Anolis sagrei: one gene and its partners. The protein of the gene in region 1 purifies or fractionates together with the protein of each later gene. This does not show direct contact. Links are inferred from orthologs where the notes say so. Each region holds a gene or a part of one and is shown in the gene's direction. Other genes may lie near its edges. The genes, in order: RNF146, PARP2 and CHD1L.

The links.
Region 2: the proteins of RNF146 (region 1) and PARP2 purify together in Homo sapiens (affinity purification with mass spectrometry; 4 studies listed by BioGRID and IntAct, counting the BioPlex papers as one, with this or other methods). This does not show direct contact. The link is inferred for Anolis sagrei from reciprocal best matches to the Homo sapiens genes RNF146 and PARP2.
Region 3: the proteins of RNF146 (region 1) and CHD1L purify together in Homo sapiens (co-immunoprecipitation; 3 studies listed by BioGRID and IntAct, counting the BioPlex papers as one, with this or other methods). This does not show direct contact. The link is inferred for Anolis sagrei from reciprocal best matches to the Homo sapiens genes RNF146 and CHD1L.

Annotation. Positions count from the first base shown.
Region 1 is NC_090021.1:84,808,425-84,816,002, reverse strand, and holds the start of RNF146 (E3 ubiquitin-protein ligase RNF146), read left to right. Parts: upstream 1-4,538; 5' UTR 4,539-4,770; intron 4,771-7,578. UniProt on the Homo sapiens protein: E3 ubiquitin-protein ligase that specifically binds poly-ADP-ribosylated (PARsylated) proteins and mediates their ubiquitination and subsequent degradation. May regulate many important biological processes, such as cell survival and DNA damage response.
Region 2 is NC_090026.1:13,338,822-13,345,976, forward strand, and holds the start of PARP2 (poly [ADP-ribose] polymerase 2), read left to right. Parts: upstream 1-4,146; 5' UTR 4,147-4,303; intron 4,304-7,155. Other genes in the region: perforin-1-like, read left to right, coding at 1-1,155. UniProt on the Homo sapiens protein: Poly-ADP-ribosyltransferase that mediates poly-ADP-ribosylation of proteins and plays a key role in DNA repair.
Region 3 is NC_090022.1:166,739,745-166,746,675, reverse strand, and holds the start of CHD1L (chromodomain-helicase-DNA-binding protein 1-like), read left to right. Parts: upstream 1-3,905; 5' UTR 3,906-4,015; coding exon 4,016-4,112; intron 4,113-6,008; coding exon 6,009-6,121; intron 6,122-6,931. Other genes in the region: uncharacterized protein, read right to left, coding at 809-985. UniProt on the Homo sapiens protein: ATP-dependent chromatin remodeler that mediates chromatin-remodeling following DNA damage.

The DNA of each region.
Region 1 (7,578 bases):
TGAAGGGACACAGTAATTATCATTATATTTGCTCTGCAGCAGAAGACTTTTATGCAATTATCTTTGGAGAGTTAGGGCCTCGCATTTATTAATGAAGCACATTTAAAAGCCAATGTTTCTAATGTCATTAGGCCAAAGAGCAGGAGTGCAATTAGTACATTTAAGCGTGTTAAAGTATTTGTTCTCTTAGCAGTACAGTTCTCTGCTTCACTAAGGTAGGAGTGGACAAAGTAGAACTGCAACTCCCGACATCATCTTTAGCCATGTTTGCAAGCATTGTTGAGAGTTGCAATCCAACATCTTGAAGGCCATAGTTGGCACCCCATTGGGACCTCCAATGGATACCAAAGCCACGATATACAAAATAGTGTCCCTTAGGCCCCAACTACATTATATGATCAGTGTAGACCCATATAAGCTGAAGCTGGTGCAAAATGCGGCGGCTCGTCTTCTCGCCGGGGTGCCGGCGAGGTGTCGTATCACCCCAATTCTACAACTGCACTGGCTTCCGATAGAGTACCGGATCACTTTCAAGGTGCTGGTACTAACCTTTAAGGCCTTATATGGTCTGGGGACGGCGTACCTGAGGGCCCACTTATCCCTCTACCAACCCCAGAGATTACTTCAGTCCGAAGACCAAAATTTGCTTGAAGTCCCCAACATCTGGACTTATCATCTGTCCTCTACTAGGCAGAGAGCCTTTTCGATTGTAGCCCCTTATTTATGGAATGCCTTGCCAGTTGAAACCCGAACCATCCGAGAGCTACTTGCTTTTCGGAAAGCCTGTAAAACCTTTCTTTTCCGACAAACTTTCGATGGGTGAATAACTCGGGACTATGTCTGTTCTCGTTTTTATTGTATTTTAAAGTTGGGTGTATTGTTTTTGATCTACTGCTGTAAACCGCTCCGAGCCAAACTGGGAGTGGCGGTATACAAGTCAAATAAATAAATAAATAAATAAACAAATAAATAAATAATGCAGTCAAATGCAGTTAAACTTCACTGTAGATAGGGCCTTACATAAAATGGCAACATCAAGGTTTGTTTGGGCTTTTTAAAAATTTATTTTAAATATTTTCTATCAATGAATGGTTGAATCGATGGATACAAAATCCATGGAGATGGAGGGCTGACTGTTACATTGTGCTGTGCAACCCTGCAGTAAGGGCTGCCCAGCTGGCAGATCACATTTAAGTGGTCTCTTGGCACAATACAGATATGATAATACCAGCTTGTGTTCTGAATGAAAAGCTATACTGTTCCAGCAAAAGACTATGCAACTATGGCAGCTGAATTGTGATTAAGAGAAGCAGGGGCATAGAGGCAGGTCCAAAAGGATGAATACTAGCTTCTTAAATATCCCATTCACGCTCTGGTTACATCCCAAATAGATTACTGCAATGCACTCTATGTGGGGTTGCCTCTGAATACTGCTCGGAAGCTTCAACTAGTCCAACGCTCAGCGGCCAGGTTGCTCACAGGGTACAGGGAACGTACAACTCTCGTTACGCCAGTTCTACTGGCTGCCTATTAGCTTCTGGGCACAATTCAAAGTGCTGGTCTTAACCTATAAAAACCCTAAATGGCTCTAGCCCTGTTTACCTGTCCCAACGTATCTCCCTCTACAAACCCCCAAGGACCTTAAGATCATCCAGCGAGGCTCTCGGTCCCACCACCTTCACAGTCATGTTTGATGGGGATGAGAGACAGGCCCTTCTCTGTGGTGCCCTTTTGGCTGTGGATCTCCCTCCCAAATGAGATTAGATCTGCCCCATCTCTCCTGACCTTCCGGAAGAAACTCGAATCCTGGCTTTGGGATCAAGCATTTGCAGAACAGACTGATTTACTGGTGAAGATAAGGTTTTAGTGGACTGGCCAACTGTTTAAATGCATATTTATAACTGTTTTTAATGTATTCTAATTGTATTTTATATTGTATTATTATAATGTGTCAGCATCAAATAGCTGCCTGTTGGAAGCCGTCCTGAGTCCCTTTTCAGAGGTTGAGAAGGACGGGGTATAAATGTCCTAAATAAATAAATTCAGAGCATTCCAGGAGTAGGCTATTTGGCCAAAAACTATGGAAATGTGTTTTTCATACCCTCATTAAATAAGCATGATTTAATACATTTATGGTTGAAATACCCAAATGGTACCAAACCTTGTTGGAAACTAAGCAGGATCAGCCCTTGCTAGTACTTGGATGGGAAATCACAATTGAACACTATATTTCAGAGGAAGAATCTGACTAATCAGAGGATGAATCTGTTGAGGTCAATAAGTGACTTGAAAGCACACATAATATTCCTGAGAAGGGCAAGCAAAAAAAAAAGTGATTTGTCAGTTTCATCTTCTGATAACACACATTTATTCCAGATTCTGTGAGGTATTCCTAAAAGAAATATCCAAATACTTCTGGTTCCAAGCATTTTGGGTCATGCACAAAACTGTGTAAAATATTGTGTATAAAATTACCTTCTGGTTCTATGGATAAGGTGTACCTGAAACAGAAATCAATTTCACATTTTGATTTAGATCCCAGCTCCAAGGGCACATCTACACTGTAGAATGAATGCATCGTGATACCACTTTAACTGCTGTGGCTCAATGCTGGGAGTTGTAGTTTGATGAGGCATGAGAACTTTTAGGCAGAGAAGTCTAAAGACCTTGCACAGCTACAAGTTACTCCCCATGACTTCATAGCACTGAACCACAGCAATTAGAGTGGTGTCAAACTGCATTCATTCCACAGTGTAGATAAGGGCTGGGCAAACTTGGGCCCTCCCCTCCAGGTGGTTGGGACTTCAGTTCCCACAATTCCTAACAGCCTCAGGCCCTTTCCTTTTCTCCCTTAGTTGCTTAAAACAGTGTCTCTCAACCTTCCTAATGCTGCAACCCCTTAATACAGTTCCTCAGATTGTGGTGACCCCCAACCATAAAACTATTGCTGTTACTCCTTCATAACTGCTATTTTGCTACTGTTATGAATTGTAATATAAATATCTGATATGCAAGATGTATTTTCAGTGACAGGCACCCAATAAATACCCGATACACCCAAATTTGAATACTGGTGGGGTTGGTTTTGTCATTTGGGAGTTGCAGTTGATGGGATTTATAGTTCACCTACAATCAAAGAGGATTTTGAACTCCACCAATGATGAAATTGAACCAATCTTGGCACACAGAACTCCCTTGACCAATAGAAAATATTTGAAGGGTTTGGTGGGCATTGCCCTTGAGTTTTGAAGTTGTACTTCACCTACATCCAGAGAGCACTGTGGACTCAAACAATGATGGATCTGGACCAAACTTGGCACAAATATTCCATACTCAATATGCCCAAATGTGGACACTGGTGGAGTGTGGGAGAAAGTTGAGAGTTGTGGTTGCTGGGATTTATAGTTCACCTACAATCAAAGCTTACCAATGATATAATTGGACCATATTTCCCACATAGACTTACTTAGGCGATCCTTTGTTTTCCGAGGAGGATTGTCTTCCAATAGTCTTGTGGGTCCGTATGTGGCTGTGGAGCCCTATTCTTGCTCTGCATCTTCTTCCGCAGTGAGAGCATTGGTTTCCAGGTGGAAGGTGGTCTCGATTGGGGTTGGTTCCTCTTGGCACACTTCTCCCTTTCGCCCTCCATTTGTACCTCTTCAAATTCTGCAGCACTACTGGTCACAGCTGACCTCCAGCTGGAGCGGTCAAGGGCCAGGGCTTCCCACATAGAACCCCCATGACGAACAGAAAATAGTGTTTCCTGGTGGTCTTTGATTACTCCCCCCCCCCCAGGGTCTTGATACCCAGGTTGTGAAACACTGGCTTAAAAGGAAAGGGCTCGAGGCTGTTAGCAATGGTGGGAGTCCAAGTCCAAAACACCTGGAGGGAGGGCCCAAGTTGGCCCATGCCTGGTGTAGAACCTTTGTTGTTGGTGTTGTTCATTCGTTCAGTTGTCTCCGACTCTTTGTGACTCATGGACCAGCCCACGCCAGAGCTCCCTGTCGGCCGTCACCACCCCCAGCTCCATCAAGGTCAGTCCAGTCACTTCAAGGATGCCATCCATCCATCTTGCCCTTGGTCGGCCCCTCTTCCTTTTGCCTTCCACTTTCCCCAGCATAATTGTCTTCTCTAGGCTTTGCTGTCTCCTCATGATGTGGCCAAAGTACTTCAACTTTGTCTCTAGTATCCTTCCCTCCAGTGAGCAGTCGGGCTTTATTTCCTGGAGGATGGACTGGTTGGATCTTCTCGCAGTCCAAGGCACTCTCAGCACTTTCCTCCAACACCAGAGCTCAAAAGCATCTATCTTCCTTCGCTCAGCCTTCCCTAAGGTCCAGCTCTCACATCCGTAGGTGACTACAGGGAATACCATGCCGGATCTTTGTTGCCAGTGTCTCTACTCTTTACTAGAACCTTAAAGTACCCAATTGCAGAGCCTTTCCTGCAAAGCCACGCCTACTCCCAAACCGAAGCCCCGCCCCTTCCCCTTCTTCGCCCCGCCCCTTTTGTTTTGGGCTCCGCGCTTCCCGCTTTGGCTCCGCCCACCGTAATGCGTGATGACGTCGGGGAAGCTCGAGCGCTCTGTGTCGCGGCAGAGCTAGCCGGAGGGAGAAGGCAGGCGAAAGGGAAGGACGGCGCAGCCTCATCACCGAGCGGAGGGGGAGGAGGAGGCGGAAAAGAAAGAGAGAGACTGAGAGAGAAAGAGACGGCGGAGGGAGAGCAGTAGATCGGCTCCTGCCGCTGGCCGAAGGTTGAGTAGCGAAGCGGGAGGTGAGTGAGGGAAGGAAGGGGTTGCGTGACGACGACGGCGCTCTCTCTCTCTCTACGTTTATTCGGAGGCCGGGCCTCCTCCTGGGCTCGCGCTCTCTCTCTCCCCCTCCCCCCCCTCCCGCGCGCCCCAGCTCTTCTGCCTTAGTTCCGCCTCCCCTCCGCAGCCGTTTCTCCTTCCGGAGCCGAACAAAGGCCCCCTCCGTTGCCGCCTGGCCTTGGGATCCAAGGCGGGCTGGAAGTGGAGAGGGGGGGGGGGGAGAGAGAGAGAGAAAAGGTTTCGCTTGTCAATCCAGCGAGCCTGGCCTCCCCCATTCCTCCCATAGGATTCTGTAGGCACTTGTTGGAGCAGAGTATGATTGTTATTGTTATATCATCGTAATATTATTGTCGCATTATGTGGTTTTTTTTAAAAAAAATAGCCTGCGTTCCCCTCCAAATTGGGATTCAAAGAGACTCACTTTTTTTTTTAAAAAAAGGGCAGTCAAAACATACTCCAAGTGGATTTTAAAATAGAACTAGGCAATCTATCTATCTTATATCATTCAACTCATATTATTAATTCAGTTAAAATAGTATCCTTTTTTATAATTGGTCATGCTCTCCCTTCCAAATTCAAAGTGACTTCAATTTAAGAAAGCGCGATGCAATCCAAACCTATGCGAAGCGGATATTAAAACTAGAGTTAGGTTGTTATTATTATTGCTATATTTACCCTGGCATTAAGTCTAGTCATGTCCAGCTCTGGGGGTTGGTGCTCATCTCCATTTCTAAGACGAAGAGCCGGCGATGTCCACAGACACCTCCAAGGTCATGTGGCTGGCATGACTGTGTGGAGCGCCATTACTTTCCTTTCCTGCATAAGTGGTCCCTATTTATTATTTATTTAAAACTTTTATATCCCGATCTTCTCACCTCCATAGAGGGACTCAGACCGGCTTACAGCAAGGATTCAATGCCACTAATACAAGTTAAAACATCATACAATATAAGATTAAAATACATATAGATAAAATACATATATACCAAATCACCAGGGTAAAATCATGTTCAACTCAGTCCACATATGTGGTCACGCACTTTGGTCTGTAACCAGTCTCAGCCATTATTCTGGGAATGCTTCATTCCATAACCAGGATTTCACTAGCCTCCTGAAGGACAAGAGGGAGGGGGCAGATCTCACCTCACTCGGGAGAGAGTTCCATAGTCGAGGGGCCACCACCAAGAAGGCCCTGTCTCTCGTTCCCACCAATCGCGCTTGCGAAGGTGGTGGAACCAAGAGCAGGGCCTCTCCGGAAGATCTTAACATCCTTGATGGTTCATAAGGGAGAATATGTTCAGACAGGTAAACTGGGCCGGAACCATATAGGGATTTATAGGTTAAGACCAGCACTTTGAATTGTGCTTATGTTTTCAAACTGCTAGATTGGCAGAAGCTGGGCCTAACAGTAGGAGCTCACTCTGCTCCCAGTATTCGAACCACCAACCTTTCAGTCAGCAAGTTCAGCAGCCTAGCGTTAAACCCACTGTGCCACCAGGGAGGACATTGCTATATTTATTATGTTATTATTTTGTTATTATACTTATTTACAGCCTGCTTTCCTCCTCGGAATTGGGATTCAGAGTGGCTCACAATGCAGCCACAATGCAATCAAACACCTACACAGTGAATATTAAAACAAAATTACACTGTTAATAATAATAACTTTGTTCTTGTACACCGCCACCATCTCCCCGAAGGGACTCAGGGCGGCTTACATATGGGGCAAAAGTCCACAAACATAAAACATAAAAGCAAGACAATCTATAAAATAAAACACAATAAATTGGTGCATCATAAATACAACAACCAAGATAAAATACACTAAACCTAACATAATAAAACAGATTGCATTGGAGCTCCATTGGACCGCATTCAACAAAACTAATGATTGGATTTCTAAGATGGGCAAGGGCCGGGCAAGGAATAGTGCAAATAGTGTATTATCTAGCAACCTAGGGGCTGGGTATATATAACTAGCGACTAATCATTAATAATAATACATTTATTGCAATATTTTGTTCTACATACTTTTACGTTCCCCATCAAATTAGGATTCAAAGTGGCTTTTAAAAATACCAATGCAAGGAAAAGTCTACCTGAAGTGAATATTAAAACAGAATTAGGTTATTATTACTTTATTATTATTATTATTATTATTATCATGTTTTTATACTTTGTTATATCCAGCTTTCCCCTCAAAATTGGGTTTCAGAGCAGTTCAGTTTTAAAAAGAACAATGCAGTCAAAAAACCTACAGAAACTGAATATTAATAGAGAATTAATGTAACCACCTTCTTCCTCGCTGCCCTGCTCCAAATGCCAGCCTTGCACCAGAGGCTGACCTTCCTGCGGTGGAGGTGCGTGGGGGAATTTTTGTCTTATTTTTCTGGATGGAGTGGAAGATGAGGCAGGGACAGCAGTGTTCTTGGCTGTCACGAGCACTTGTTTCTAGGGCTTGAGTCAGTTTTCTGCCTCCTATTCACGGTCTTTCTCTCCCCTCCCCCACCCTTTATTTGTTTGAGGCGGGGAGGGCATGTGTAATAATCACAACACACCAAATCTTGAGAGGTTAGAAAAAGAAGGTGACTTTGGTGGGAGATTGTCTTGTTCTGAATTTGGTGAGAGATTGTCTTGCATTTTATAGCTGTATGGCATTTAAAAACAAAAAACAGGATGGTAACTTTCCCTTGGGTGGGTTGCTGTTTACAATATAATTAGAAAGCTTTATTGCAAACTTTAAAAGACTGGTTGGTATGGTGCTCTTGTAC
Region 2 (7,155 bases), on another chromosome or scaffold:
CTCCAGAATCCTCCCCTTCTGTCCCAGTACTTCTCTCGTGCGCTGGAGAGGCTGCCAAGGAAGTCCAACCTTGAGGAGTACCAGCAGTTTATCAACATCTATGGCACGCACTATATCAGCCACGTCCGTTTGGGAGGGCGAGTGCGCCACCTCTTAGCTGTGCGCACTTGCACTATGGCCTTGGCAGGTTTCACCATTTCCAAGATCAAGGACTGCCTGAATTGGGAGGTTAGTCTGGGGCACGAATTGCTCTTTGGATCCAGTTCCCTCAAGTCCAAGTGCCAAGAGCTCTGGGGAGCGAAGGGCTGGGGAAACTTTTATGACATCTACAGTGGACAACGCACAGAGGTGGTGGGAGGAGACCAGCGAGTGGAGATGCTCTTCTCGCAAACTGGAGAAGTCCAGCGCTTTTCAGAATGGATGGAGACGGCAAAAACAAAGCCCGGTTTGATCTCGTTCTCCCTCCTACCTCTTCATATGTTGTTGCCCCGAACAGATCCAAGGAGGGACTTGTTGAAGCGAGCCGTTGTGGGTCATATCAGCCAGAGAGCCCTTAAGAGGGACTGCCCACAAGACTGCCCATCCTGGAGCACCCAAAACACAGAGAAGAGCTGCACATGTAAATGCCAAGCTGATGCCATCGTGAATGACATGTGCTGTGCCTGGGAACGAGGCCGGGCACGTCTCAGCTTCACCATTTCCACTGGTGCCAACCTTTGGGGCGATCAATTCACCGCCACCGACGCCTACGTCAAGGTTTTCTTCCAAGACCAGGAAAGGCGAACCAAGGTTGTCTGGAACAACAACCACCCCAACTGGACTGAAACTGTGGATTTTGGGGCTGTGACGCTGATGGACCACAACCCTTTTCTGGTGGAACTGTGGGACGATGACGTCTGGCATGATGACCTGCTGCAGAAATGTCGTGGCAATTTGGTGGCCGGAGGAGGCACCGTTGGGCTCACCTGTTATTCACGTTATGGACACATCGAATTTTCTTACTCGTTGGAGTGCGGACGCACCTTGGGAGGCCCCAGTTGCTATGACTATGTCCCCTTACAGCTGCCAACATCATATTTCAACAACACCAGTTCCCCATTCCGTGCTTTATCTTTGTCTCATATGTTTCAGGAAGACTTCCAACTGCAGAAGTAAAACAAACCCAAACGAAGCAAAGGATAAGACTGGAACAAAGCCGCTTAGCAAGTGAGGCAAATGCAAGACTGATAACACTATGTAACTCAATTTTTGTTCCTGGGTTATAAATGGCATTTCTTAATTCAGTGGCTCTCAACCTTCCTAATGCAGTGACCCCTTAATGCAGTTCCTCATGTTGTGATGACCCCCAAACATAAAATTATTTTCGTTGCTACTTCATAACTGTAATTTTGCTACTGTTATGGATCGTAATGTAAATATCTGATATGCAGGATGAATTTTCATTCACTCCACAAAATTGAGCACAAATACCCAATACGTACAAATTTAAATACCGGTGGCATTGGGAGGGGGATTGATTTTGTCATTTGGGAGTTGTAGTTGCTGGGATTTATAGTTCACCTGAAAAGGTCTTTGAGTGAAATTTCCAAATGCTAAGCAAGGGGATTTGAAGGAAATTAACAGCAAAAGAGAAATATACCCTTTCTCTGTAGAAAAAGAGCAACACGGAAGAAAATGTTTTTAAGAAACAAGATATGACATGCAGAGGTCATGCAAAGTTCAAGCCTACATAGGAAGTTGTGTTGTGGTTAAGTTCAAAGGTTGTGGTTAAGCGCAGAGCCTGCAGGTACAAGAAGGTACTTTCCATCAAAAGGTCAAGGGAGAGGGGCTAGAAAGAGAATACTTTCCATGACCAAAAAAAATGTTCTTGTTTACTTGAGGGTATATAACGGTGTACAAAAGCCAAGGGGGCGCTTTGGCCACACATCTCTATTTTAAATGTAAACTGGAAATTCAATAAAGATTTAATGGGGGAAAAAAAGCCAAAGGGGCGCGGCAGTCACTTGAAGGGTAGCATCTGCGTATGCTGCCAGGCTGTCCGTCTTGTTCATGAAGAAACTAAAATAAACCTTGTTTTTAAATCTTTTTTTGGGACTGTCTCCTTCCTTACGTGCTCATGTGATGTGGACCTAAGAAGACCCAATTTGTTGAGAGGTAATTCGATGTCCCTGCCTGCTTCCTCTTTGTTGTTGTGCTGTTGCAATTTTTTAATAGTGGTAGCCAGATTTTGTTCATTTTCATGGTTTCCTCCTTTCTGTTGAAATTGTCCACATGCTTGTGTATTTCAATGGCTTCTCTGTGTAGTCTGACATGGTAGTTGTGAGAGTGGTCCAGCATTTCTGTGTTCTCAAATAAAATGCTGTGTCCAGGTTGGTTCATCGGGTGCTCTGCTATGGCTGACATCTATGCTATGCTATGACATCTAATCACCTCTCAACAAAAGTTTGCTCCAGGCACAGTCAGACCATTGTATGCTAATCAAGGTGGTCAGTTGAAACATTCACACCTAGCTCCAGCAGACAAGAGTCCTTTGTCTCACCCTGGTCATTCCACATTCCTTTTTCCTAGTTCCAACAGACCTCACTACCTCAGAGGATGCTTGCCATAGATGCAGGCGAAACGTCAGGAGGAAATGCCTCTAGAAAAAACCTACAACAACCCAGTGATTGCGGCTATGAAAGCCTTCGACTATACAAGGACAATTATATGTTATTTATTTATCGTGTCATCAGCAACCATTGTATTACAATTCTAACAGAGTAAAACAAACACACAGATTAAAAAGAAAAAGGGAAAAAAGGGAAAAAAACACACAGATTTTGCAGATTTGGTATTTGGTTAAATATCCTTTGACCAGTATCTGGCCACTTGGAGTGCCTCTGGGGTTGCCGCAAGAAGGTCCTCCATTGCGCATGTGTCAGGGCTCAGGTTGCATTGCAGCAGGTGGTCAGTGGTTTGTTCTTCTCCGCACTCGCATGCTGAGGATTCCACTTTGTAGCCCCATTTCTTAAGATTGGCTCTGCTTCTCGTGGTGCCAGAGCGCAGTCTGTTCAGCGCCTTCCAAGTCGCCCAGTCTTCTGAGTGCCCAGGGGGGAGTCTCTCATCTGGTATCACCCATGAATTGAGGTGCTGGGTTTGGGCCTGCCACTTTTGGACTCTCGCTTGCTGGGGTGGTTCCACCGAGTGTCTCTGTAGATATTTCTAGATTTAAGTTGTTGACGTGCTGGCTGATACCCAAACAGGGGATGAGCTGGAGATGTCTCTGCCTTGGTCCTTTCACTATTGGCTGCTACTTCCCGGCGGATGTCAGGTGGTGCAATACCGGCTAAGCAGTGTAATTTCTCCAGTGGTGTGGGGCTGGAGGCAGGCACCCTGTGATAATGCAGCATGTCTCATTAAGAGCCACATCTACTGTTTTAGTGTGGTGAGATCTGGGCATGCATACTCAGCGCAAGGGCAGATGTCTTCACTGTGTCTGGTTGTGATCACCAGACTGGGCCACAGCGATGCGTGGCAGGGGAGGGCTAGTGTTAAATAAAGTGGGGAAAAGGATTTGCTGGGTGGAGACTAGTCTGAATTGGGTTATGAAGCCATGGCTTCACCTCTGCCCATTGTACTCATATTTGCTGGCCGTGAGTCGTTCCCAAACCCCAAGCAGGCCGCGGAGGCATCCGCGGGAAGGAGTGGATCCTGTGCCCGCTTCTCCTGCCTCAAATCTGGGGCGCTGCCGGAGGCCCATATCGCTGGGAACTCACCCACCTTCCGAAGGTGGCGCCCTGCTAAGGCGGAAATAGCGGCCCTTCTCTCAGACCTTCCCAGAGGAGCAACGGGAGTGACGTACACTCAGCATGTGGCCTCTTCGGAGAGCTTCCTCCCAGCCTGATTGAAAAGCCCGCTATCCCTTCTGTATATATAGCATGAGTCTGAAATAAATTTCAAGATAGGGCGACTTTCTTAAAAATTTCTTTGCATATGCTTCACACAGTTTGAAAGGATTTAGAATTGTAATGCTGTACCTGGAAAATTTAACCGCGGGGAAGCAAACACACTTACAAGCCTAGGAAGCCTGAGTCCATAGTGCAATACGGTTAATTTACATCTTCCCGCCCTCCTAGAAGTTCACATGCAAACGAATGTATATGCAAATGAGGAGGCGGGCCTAGCTGGCCTGTAGAACGTTCCCGGGAGCGCGCGCAAAGGGAAGCAGAAGGGGAAAAGGGGCGGAGTTTGCAGCATTGGTTGCAAAGAGCACAGCAGGAACTTGGGTAGGTTGCAAAAGGGAGAGGGTGCAAATCGAAGCAAGGTAGATATATTTATTAAGGCAACATTAATGCAGTTTGGCACCACTTTAACTGCCATGACTCAATGCTGTGGAATTATGGGAGTTGTATTTTGTTATTATTTATTGTTATATTTGTTTATAACCCTCTTCCAAGGGGCAATTTTTGCAATCTGATCATATGGGGGAATGGGTTGGTTGGGTGAACAATATGTTTATGCCTGATCTGTATTTTTGCCTGAGCTGTGTTGTTTTTTGTGAGGTCACTTTGGGAGTGTGGTGGGAGTGTGGTGCCACATATATCCAGATGAGTCCCTATTGTACAAGAATCATAGAATAATAGCTCTGAGCTCTGAGGATAACCTGGGAAGGAATCCCACTGGAGCATTGCAGCGCACCCAAATACCTGGGAGTCACTCTGGACCGTTCTCTGACATACAAGAAGCACTGCCTGAACATCAAGGAAAAAGTGGGTGCTAGAAACAATATCATACGAAAGCTGACTGGCACAACCTGGGGATCACAACCAGATACAGTGAAGACATCCGCCCTTGCGCTGTGCTACTCTGCTGCTAAGTATGCATGCCCAGTGTGGAACACATCTCACCACACTAAAACAGTGGATGTGGCTCTTAATGAGACATGCATTATCACGGGGTATCTGCGCCCTACACAACTGGAGAAATTACACTGCTTAGCTGGTATTGCACCACCTGACATCCGCCAGGAAGTAGCAGCCAATAGTGAAAGGACCAAGGCAGAGACATCTCCAGCTCATCCCTTGTTTGGGTTTCAGCCAGCACGTCCATGACTTAAATCAAGAAATAGTTTTCTTAGATCTACAGAGACACTCGCTGGAACACCTCAGCAAGCGAGAGTCCAAAAGTGGCAGGCTCAAACCCAGCACCTAAATCCGTGGGTGATACCAGATGAGAGACTCCCCCCTGGGCACACAGAAGACTGGGCGACTTGGAAGGCACTGAACAGACTGCGCTCTGGCACCACGAGATGCAGAGCCAATCTTAAGAAATGGGGCTACAAAGTTGAATCCACAACATGCGAGTGTGGAGAGGAGCAAACCACTGACCACCTACTGCAATGCAGCCTGAGCCCTGCTACATGCACGATGGAGGACCTTCTTGCAGCAACACCACAGGCACTCCTAGTGGCCAGATACTGGGCAAAGGACATTTAATCAGCTACCAAGTTTTCAAAATTTGTGTGTTTTTTTGGGTTTTTTTATCTGTTTGCTTGTTTTGTTCTGTTAGAAATGTAATACAATGTTCTGGTTGCGGATGACACGACAAATATATAGAATAATAGAATCCTAGAGTTGGAAGAGACCTCATGGGCCATCCAGTCCAACCCCCTGCCAAGAAGCAGGAATATTGCATTCAAATCACCCCTGACAGATGGCCATCCAGCCTCTGTTTAAAAGCTTCCAAAGAAGGAGCCTCCACCACACTCCAGGGCAGAGAGTTCCACTGCTGAACGGCTCTCACAGTCAGGAAGTTCTTCCTCATGTTCAGATGGAATCTCCTCTCTTGTAGTTTGAAGCCATTGTTCCATGGCGTCCTAGTTTCCAGGGAAGCAGTAAACAAGCTTGCTCCCTCCTCCCTGTGGCTTCCTCTCACATATTTATACATGGCTATCATATCTCCCCTCAGCCTTCTCTTCAGGCTAAACATGCCCAGCTCTTTAAGGTGCTCCTCATAGGGCTTGTTCTCCAGACCCTTGATCATTTTAGTCGCCCTCCTCTGGACACATTCCAGCTTGTCAATATCTCTCCTGAATTGTGGTGCCCAGAATTGGACACAATATTCCGTGTGTGTTCTAACCAAAGCAGAATAGAGGGGTAGCATGACTTCCCTGGATCTAGACACTATGCTCCTATTAATGCAGGCCAAAATCCCTTTGGCTTTTTTTGCTGCCACATCACATTGTTGGCTCATGTTCACCTTCCTCCCCAGAAGACTCCAAGATCTTTTTCACACGTACTGCTCTCGAGCCAGGCATTGTCCTCCATTCTGTATCGTTGCATTTCATTTTTTCTGCCTAAGTGGAGTATCTTGCATTTGTCACTGTTGAACTTCATTTTGTTAGTTTTGGCCCATTTCTCTAAACTGTCAAGATTGTTTTGAATTCTGCTCCTGTCCTCTGGAGTATTGGCTATCCCTCCCAGTTTGGTGTCGTCTCCAAACTTGATGATCATGCCTTCTAACCTTTCATCTAAGTCATAAATGAGAATAAGGAAGCTGTCCTGACCCTAAACCAGTGTCTGTCATCAGTAATGGATTGGATGAGGGCAAACAAGTTGAAACTTAATCCAGACAGGATAGACTTGCTCCTGATCAGTCAGAAGGCAGGCTTAGTTGGTGGGAACTAGCCTGATAATAATAATAATAATAATAATAATAATAATAATAATAATAATATAAGCGTAATAATAATATAAGCGTAATAATAATATAAGCTCCCCAGGTGGTGCAGTGGGTTAACCTGTTGAGTACTGAACTTGCTGACCGAAAGGTTGCAGTTCGAATCCAGAGAGCAGGGTGAGCTCCCACTGTTAGGCCCAGCTTCGGCCAACCTAGCAGTTTGAAAACATGCAAATGTGAGTAGATCAATAGGTACCACTCTGGTGGGAAGGTAACAGCACTCCATGCAGTCATGCTGGCCACATGACCCAGGAGGCATCTACGGACAACTCTGGCTCTTTGGCTTAGAAGTAGAGATGAGCACCAACCCTCAGTCCGGTAGGCTGTTAGGAATTGTGGGAGTTGAAGTCCAAAACACCTGGACGGCTGAAGTTTGGCCATACTTGGGTTAAAATGTTACCCTCTCTATTCTAGTTCCATAAACAAGAACTTTTTGTT
Region 3 (6,931 bases), on another chromosome or scaffold:
TTCTGTTGGTCATGGGAGTTCTGTGTGCCAAGTTTGGTTCAATTCCATCGTTGGTGGAGTCCAGAATGCTCTTTGATTATAGTTGAACTATAAATCCCAAATGACAAAATCATAATTTTTTGAGTGATGGTAACTCCTTGTGTAGTGACAAGTTTTGTCTGACACTTGTGGCCAAATTTGGTGTGGTGTGATTTCGTTCATTGGTTCTTTTGTTTTTATGGTACTCATTATGTGCAGAGCATTTTTATATAGATATAGTTCACTGAGGTTAACCTGCATTCTGAAACTGAATTATATGGCAATGTAGACTCAACTGGAGTGTTTACAAAGTAACAGCCAAATGTGCCCTTTGTTAACTGGGGACACATTTTTTTTCATGTCAGGAGCGACTTGAGAAACTGCAAGTCGTTTCTGGTGTGAGAGAATTGGCCGTCTGCAAGGACGTTCCCCAAGGGACGCCCGGATGTGTTACCATCCTGTGGGAGGCTTCTCTCATGTCCCCGCATGGGGAGCCGGAGCTGGCAGACGGGTGCTCACCCCGGATTTGAACGCAGTCACAATCATTCTCAAATGCTTTGAGAAAAAAAAGAGACGTTTTGCAACCACGTCACGAGGTCTTTTTCGGTCGCCTCAAATCAAGCGGGACCCAGCCCTGTGGAAGCCAGTCCCGCTGTGAAAGCGAAAGCGGTAGCAGTAGACCAAAGCGGAGCCTAGTACTGCCCCGCCTTCCTTGCGCCCCCAAATCCGCGGCTCAATGGAGGCGCGCCTCGAATGCCTCCCCCCCCCCCCTCCGCCCGGTTCTCTTTACCGCGTCGGCGGGCGGCCCCTTCTGGGCTGCCTGGCTCCGGCCGTGCTCCCGCCGATGGAAAGTTGTGCCCGGCGCCCCCGTGGCCCTCCGCAAGAAGCCCAGGAAGAAGGCCAGCGCCAGCGCCGCTCCCCACGCCGCCCTGAGCAGCAGGCAGCAACCCCCCTCCTCTGCCTCCATCGCGGCCTCAGGGCAGAGTGGCCAGCGCCAAGCTCGTTAGCCCTCCGGAGGCGGGGCCGGGGCTGGTCTGGCCTGGCCTCACAGGGGCCGAGCTTCTGCCAGAAAAGGGATGGCGCTGCGTCCCGCTCACGAGTGCAATAGGGGGGGGGGGGGGGATGGAGGCGCTCGCGGGCGGCGCGTGCCGAGGAGCGCGCGTGTGCGGCAGGTGCACATCCAGCCTGCCCCCTCCTGCTCACGTGCTCCTCCTTCACAATTAAAGGGGCCTTCCTTTGGGGCACCGCTGGAAATGCTCGGGTACCTCTCTATGGGCCAGGCCCGCAGTGGTTCTCAGCCTGTGGGTCCCCAAATGTTTTAGCCTTCAACTCCCAGAAATCCTAACAGCTGGTAAACTGGGTGGGATTTCTGGGAGTTGTAGGCCAAAACACCTGGGGACCCACAGGTTGAGAACCACTGGGAGTGTAGGAGATGGAGCGTACAGCCAGTCCTCCATATGTCGTTTCTCACAGGGGTCCTGTGCCCCTAACCCAGCCATGAGCAAACTTCGGCCCTACCGGCTGTTAGGAATTGTGGGAGTTTATTTATTTATTTACTTTATTTGTATACCGCTCTTCTCAGCCCTTAGGCAACTCAGAGCAGTTTACAACAGTTTCGGTATACACAATACAAAATCATTAGGCATTTAAAAGCAATAGCTTCACAAATCATTAGACATCAGCATCAATACATCAGTACATCAATATAACAAATCCATCAGGTCTCATCAATGAAATCAGAATCCAAACTCGTTATCCATTATTCCGTGTTCCGATAATCAGTCAATCAATCACACTGCTTAGTCGAATGCCTGTTCAAACAGCCAGGTCCTTACTTTCCTTCGGAATGCCAGCAAGGAGGGGGTTGATCTAATATCTGCAGGAAGGGCGTTCCACAGCCGAGGGGCCACCACTGAGAAGGCCCTGTCTCTCGTCCCCACCAGGGGTGCTTGTGAAGCCGGCGGGATCGAGAGCAGGGCCTCCCCAGACGATCTTAATGTCCTAACTGGTTCATAGGAGGAGATGCGTTCGGACAGGTAGGTCGGGCCAGAACCGTTTAGGGCTTTAAAGGCTAAAGCCAGCACTTTGAATTGTGGCTGGTAGCAAATTGGCAGCCAGTTGAAATCCAAAACACCTAACTCCATATGTTTTTATTGATTAGTCCACCAACCATAACAACAATAAAAGACAAAAAAAAAACACAGACAAATAAACACTAATCACTATCCTAAAACTTCTGTAATAGTTAACTAAAATAAATTAAAACACAATAAAATTTTATGAAATAATAAGTATGGTAAAATGGGATTAAATTACAAGATGAAAGCGGGGGGGGCGGGGGTAGAGTGACAGGTACATATGCACAAAATAATAATATATAAATAAATAAGTAATGTTCATTCGTGTGATTAACATAACTCCAAAACCAGGCATGTAGCCGGGGAGGGGGCATGGGGGGTTTCAGCCCCCCCTCCCCCCCCCCCCCAAATTCTCATGGTGATTTGCGAAAAGGCCTTACTGGTATATTATTTAAACTGTTATGTTTATTCATATCATGATCTGATCACCATGCTCAATATATCTCATATGCATGGGGGTATTGGGGTAACGATACAAAAGGTTTGCTAGGGTAGACCCTCTTTCACTCAGACTCAGCCCCCCCCCCCGAATCGAAATCCTGGCTACGGGCCTGCCCGCAGTGGTTCCCAACCTGTGGGTCCCCAGATGTTTTAGCCTTCAACTCCCAGAAATCCTAACAGTTGGTAAACTGACTGGAATTTCTGGAAGTTGTAGGCCAAAACACCTGGGGACCCACAGGTTGAGAACCACTGGACCAGGGAGTGTAGGAGATGGAACATACAGCCAGTCCTCCATATATCGTTTCTCACAGGGGTCCTGTGCCCCTAACCAAGCCATGAGCAAACTTCGGCCCTACCGGCTGTTAGGAATTGTGGGAGTTGAAATCCAAAACACCCAACTCCATATGTTTTTATTGATTAGTCTGTAATAAGAAATTCAGTGTGCAAATTTGATAAATGTAAATTTAATAATGATGTGTGGGAATGAATGGAAGAATGGAAGGTTGTATGAATTGAGCTAATAATTTTGGAAACACCAGTATAATATTAAGGCCTGCAATGACTATCTACCTGCTTGCTGGACTTGCTAATGAGAAGTTGTGATAAGAACTGGGACAGTGATAACGGAAATGTTTGCAACTTTCCTTATGTTAAGAAGGAAGTCAACATAAGATCAACACCAATCAAGAAGAGTAAACATCTGGCCAGGAAACTGGGATGGATCCAGGATGGAAGACATGTATCATTAATTTACAACTTTTATGGGACTACATCAACAGATTTTTCCTATAAAAGACTCAGGCTAATAATGCTCAAATCGTGGCACACAAAAAAAATTAATTTTGTCACCCTGAGAATTTCAATCCCCCCCCCCCCAAGTTTGGTTCAATCCCATCGTTGGTGGAGTTCAGAATGCTCTTTGATTGTAGGTGAACTATAAATCCCAGCAACTACAGCTCCCAAATGGCAAAATCATAACTTTTTGCGTGATGGTCATTCCTTGTGTTCTGAAACGTTTTGTTGCCAAATTTAGTGTGATTTCGTTCATGGGTTCCTTTGTTTTCAAGGTACTCATTATGCACAGAGCATATATATATATATATAGAAGATTAACACAGTTTGAGACCCCATTAACTGGCGAAGCGCCATGCTCCAGGATCATTCGCACTCCCAATTCCCAAAAGGAAAAGACGCGAAAAAGCGGGAAAGACGCGGCGGCGGCAGCGGAAACTGACCGTCGCAATCCTGGCCAATCACAAAGAGACGCTTCTACCCATCAACCAATGGGCGTGAGCCTGTTTCTTTCCTTCCGGAAGCCGCTTTAGAAAGTCGAGGGACCTCGGAGAAGCAAGCCGAGCTGGACCTCGTGTCGCCTGAAGGGTCGCTCGCTCGCTCGCTCGCTTGAGGGGCAGGAAGGGATGTCCCTCTTCTTCCGGGCTGTGGCAGACAGGAGCAGATCCAGCCAAGCAGGCGCAGGGGTCGAGGAGGCCCATTTAAACCGATGGGGTCTGACCGGTAAGTACGCCTGGCTCTCAGAACAGATACTACGCAAATAAACAACTATAACAGGAAATCAGGCCTGGTATTTTATAGGCCATGGCAGCATCTACATTGTAGAATTCGATGCCACTTCAACTGCCATGGCTCAATGCTATGGAACCCTGGAATTTGTACTTCGATGAATCCGTAGCATTTTTTGGCAGAGAAGCTAAAGATCTTGTCAAACTTACGTATTTGATTTATCATATCAGGAGCGAACCAATGTATTTGAGAAAACACTTTGCATTCTGTTTGAGCGTGGTGAGATGTGTTCCACACTGGGCATACATACTCCGCAGCAGAGTAGCATAGCGCAAGGGCAGATGTCTTCACTGTGTCTGGTTGTGATCCTCAGGTTGTGCCAGTCAGCTTTTGTATGATATTGTTTCTAGCACCCACTTTTTGCTTGATATTCAGGCAGTGCTTCTTGTAGGTCAGAGAACAGTCCAGGGTGACTCCCAGGTATTTGGGTGCACTGCAATGCTCCAGTGGAATTCCTTCCCAAGTAATCCTCAGAACTTGAGATGTTTGTCTGTTCTTAAGATGAAAATCACACCTCTGTGTCTGAGATGGGTTGGGAATCAGCTGGTTTTGCCTGTAATAGGTAGTAAGAGCACCTAAAATTTTGGAGAGCTTCTGTTCAACCATCTCAAAGCTTCTCTTGAGCGGTGATGGCACAATCTTCAGCATAGATGAAACTCTCTTTGAGGTGGTAGTCCTTTGTGATATTATACATTTTCCTCAGGAGAAGGCATTGATTTACAATGTCATAGGCTGCTGAAGACAACTCCTGTAATCTGCTGCCTTTCAAAACCGTCTTCTATGTACTGAGTCGGGTTCAGCACTTGTGATGTGCAGCTTTTGCCCTCCCTGAAACCAGCTTGCTGTGGAATCAGACATTGTTCTATGTTTTCCATAATTCTATGCAAAATAAGTCTCTCCAGAACTTTGTAAAGATGACACAGTAAGGAGATTGGTTGATAGCTTTTTAGATCATTGTGGTCTTTGCCTGTTTTCAAGATGGCTATGACTCTTGCTTTCCTCCAGATTTTGTGGATCTGACAGGATGCAATGCAAGTTGTTCAACAGCTCCAGCAGCCAGCACCTTGTTTTTGTGCATCAAAGTTCTTAATTTGTTCCATCCGTAGATCATCCAGGCCAGCTTCTTTGCCATTTTTGCATTTATTGAAGGCCGTGTCCAGTTCAGTAGATGTAAAAGGTTCATGAAGGTTGTTGTTCTCATTTTCTTGTTGTCTGTTTGTTTCCTTCCTACTTTGGTGGCAAGGTTGGGTTTCCCATTCTTCAGAAGTTGATGCGCTATCTGATCTGCCTTTATGTTGGCATGAGTATTAGTTTGTGAGGGATCATTGCTCAACTGTTTTAGCAGCCTCCCGCCTTCTGACTGCTCCTGCCCATGTCGACTTCTGTTATCAGCTTGATCCACTGTTTTTTCTTGGCTTCAGACTCATGTGATTGCATAGGATTCAGCCATAGCAGTTGAATTGGAGTCAAGCTGCCATAATTGTAAAGTCCCTTCTATACTGCCATACAAAATCCAGATTATCTGCATTGAACTGGATTATGTGGCAGTGTAGACTCATGTACATTGCTATATAAAATCCAGATGATCTGCCTTGGATGGGATTATATGGCAGTGTAGACCGATACAATCCAGTTCAAAGCAATCCAGTTATCTGCTTTGATAATCTGAATTATATGGCATTGTGGAAGAGACCTAAATGGTATGATTTTAGAGGGAAAGATTGAGAAGGAAATCCTAGAGCAACACCAAAGTTCCAGCCTTTACCCATCAGATTGATGCAACCCTTTCCATGTATGTGGTTCTTTTTCTCTCTTTTTTCTTCACTCAAGGCATCCATCTCCATCCGTATCAGCTGGAAGGTGTGAACTGGTTGACACATTGCTATGGAACGTGGCGTGGCTGCATCCTGGGTGATGAAATGGGCCTTGGGAAGACTTGCCAGGTATATCTCTCCCTCCTTCTGTAGAAAAACCTGGTATTTTTAATTGTTGACCAGCCCCTAGATCAGCATGTCCACAAAACCCTAGGGCTCCTCAAAAGCATTGTATAGGTTCCATAAAAATCTTTAAAATAAAATTTAAAACAGATTTTAAAATAAAACCACACGAGGCTAACTGTTTAATTTAGACTCCCCGTAAGAGCTTTTTTTGGACTACAGCTATTGTTATCAGTAATGTAGTTACTGGCTACCCAGTTCAACATTTGCCATCTGAACAAGAGTGATGCACACGTAAATGATTTTTCACATTGCTCCCACACGCCTTTTTGTGAATTTTTCTTTCAGGTACAGTTTTTGAGATTAAAGATGTTTAGAATATTGGGATGTTATTCATAAAATATCAAAGAGTAAAATTTTCTCCAAAACTCGATATCAGAAATTGAGAGAAGTATGTGAATTGGCATAATATATATATATATAGAGAGAGAGAGAGAGGGAGAGAGAGAGAGATTTTAAACAAATTGCTGATAGAGTTAGGGTTCTACAGAACATAAATGTCTTCTGAAGAGTTCCATGATTTGAGAGCTGGTGCCCTAGATGCTTCCCCAACATTTTTTGCTATTAGCTGTGCTGGATAGGAATAATCTTTTGTCCATGAATACATGTAGAGTTGGGTTTGCATTTAAGCAGATTGAGCAGTTATCCAAACATCAGATTTTGGATGTCAAAAAAGCAGAACTGTATATTCTTATTTGCTCAACTGGGAAAGTATTCTTACTATCTGGGAATAGGGGTGGTGGGATGGTAGTGGGA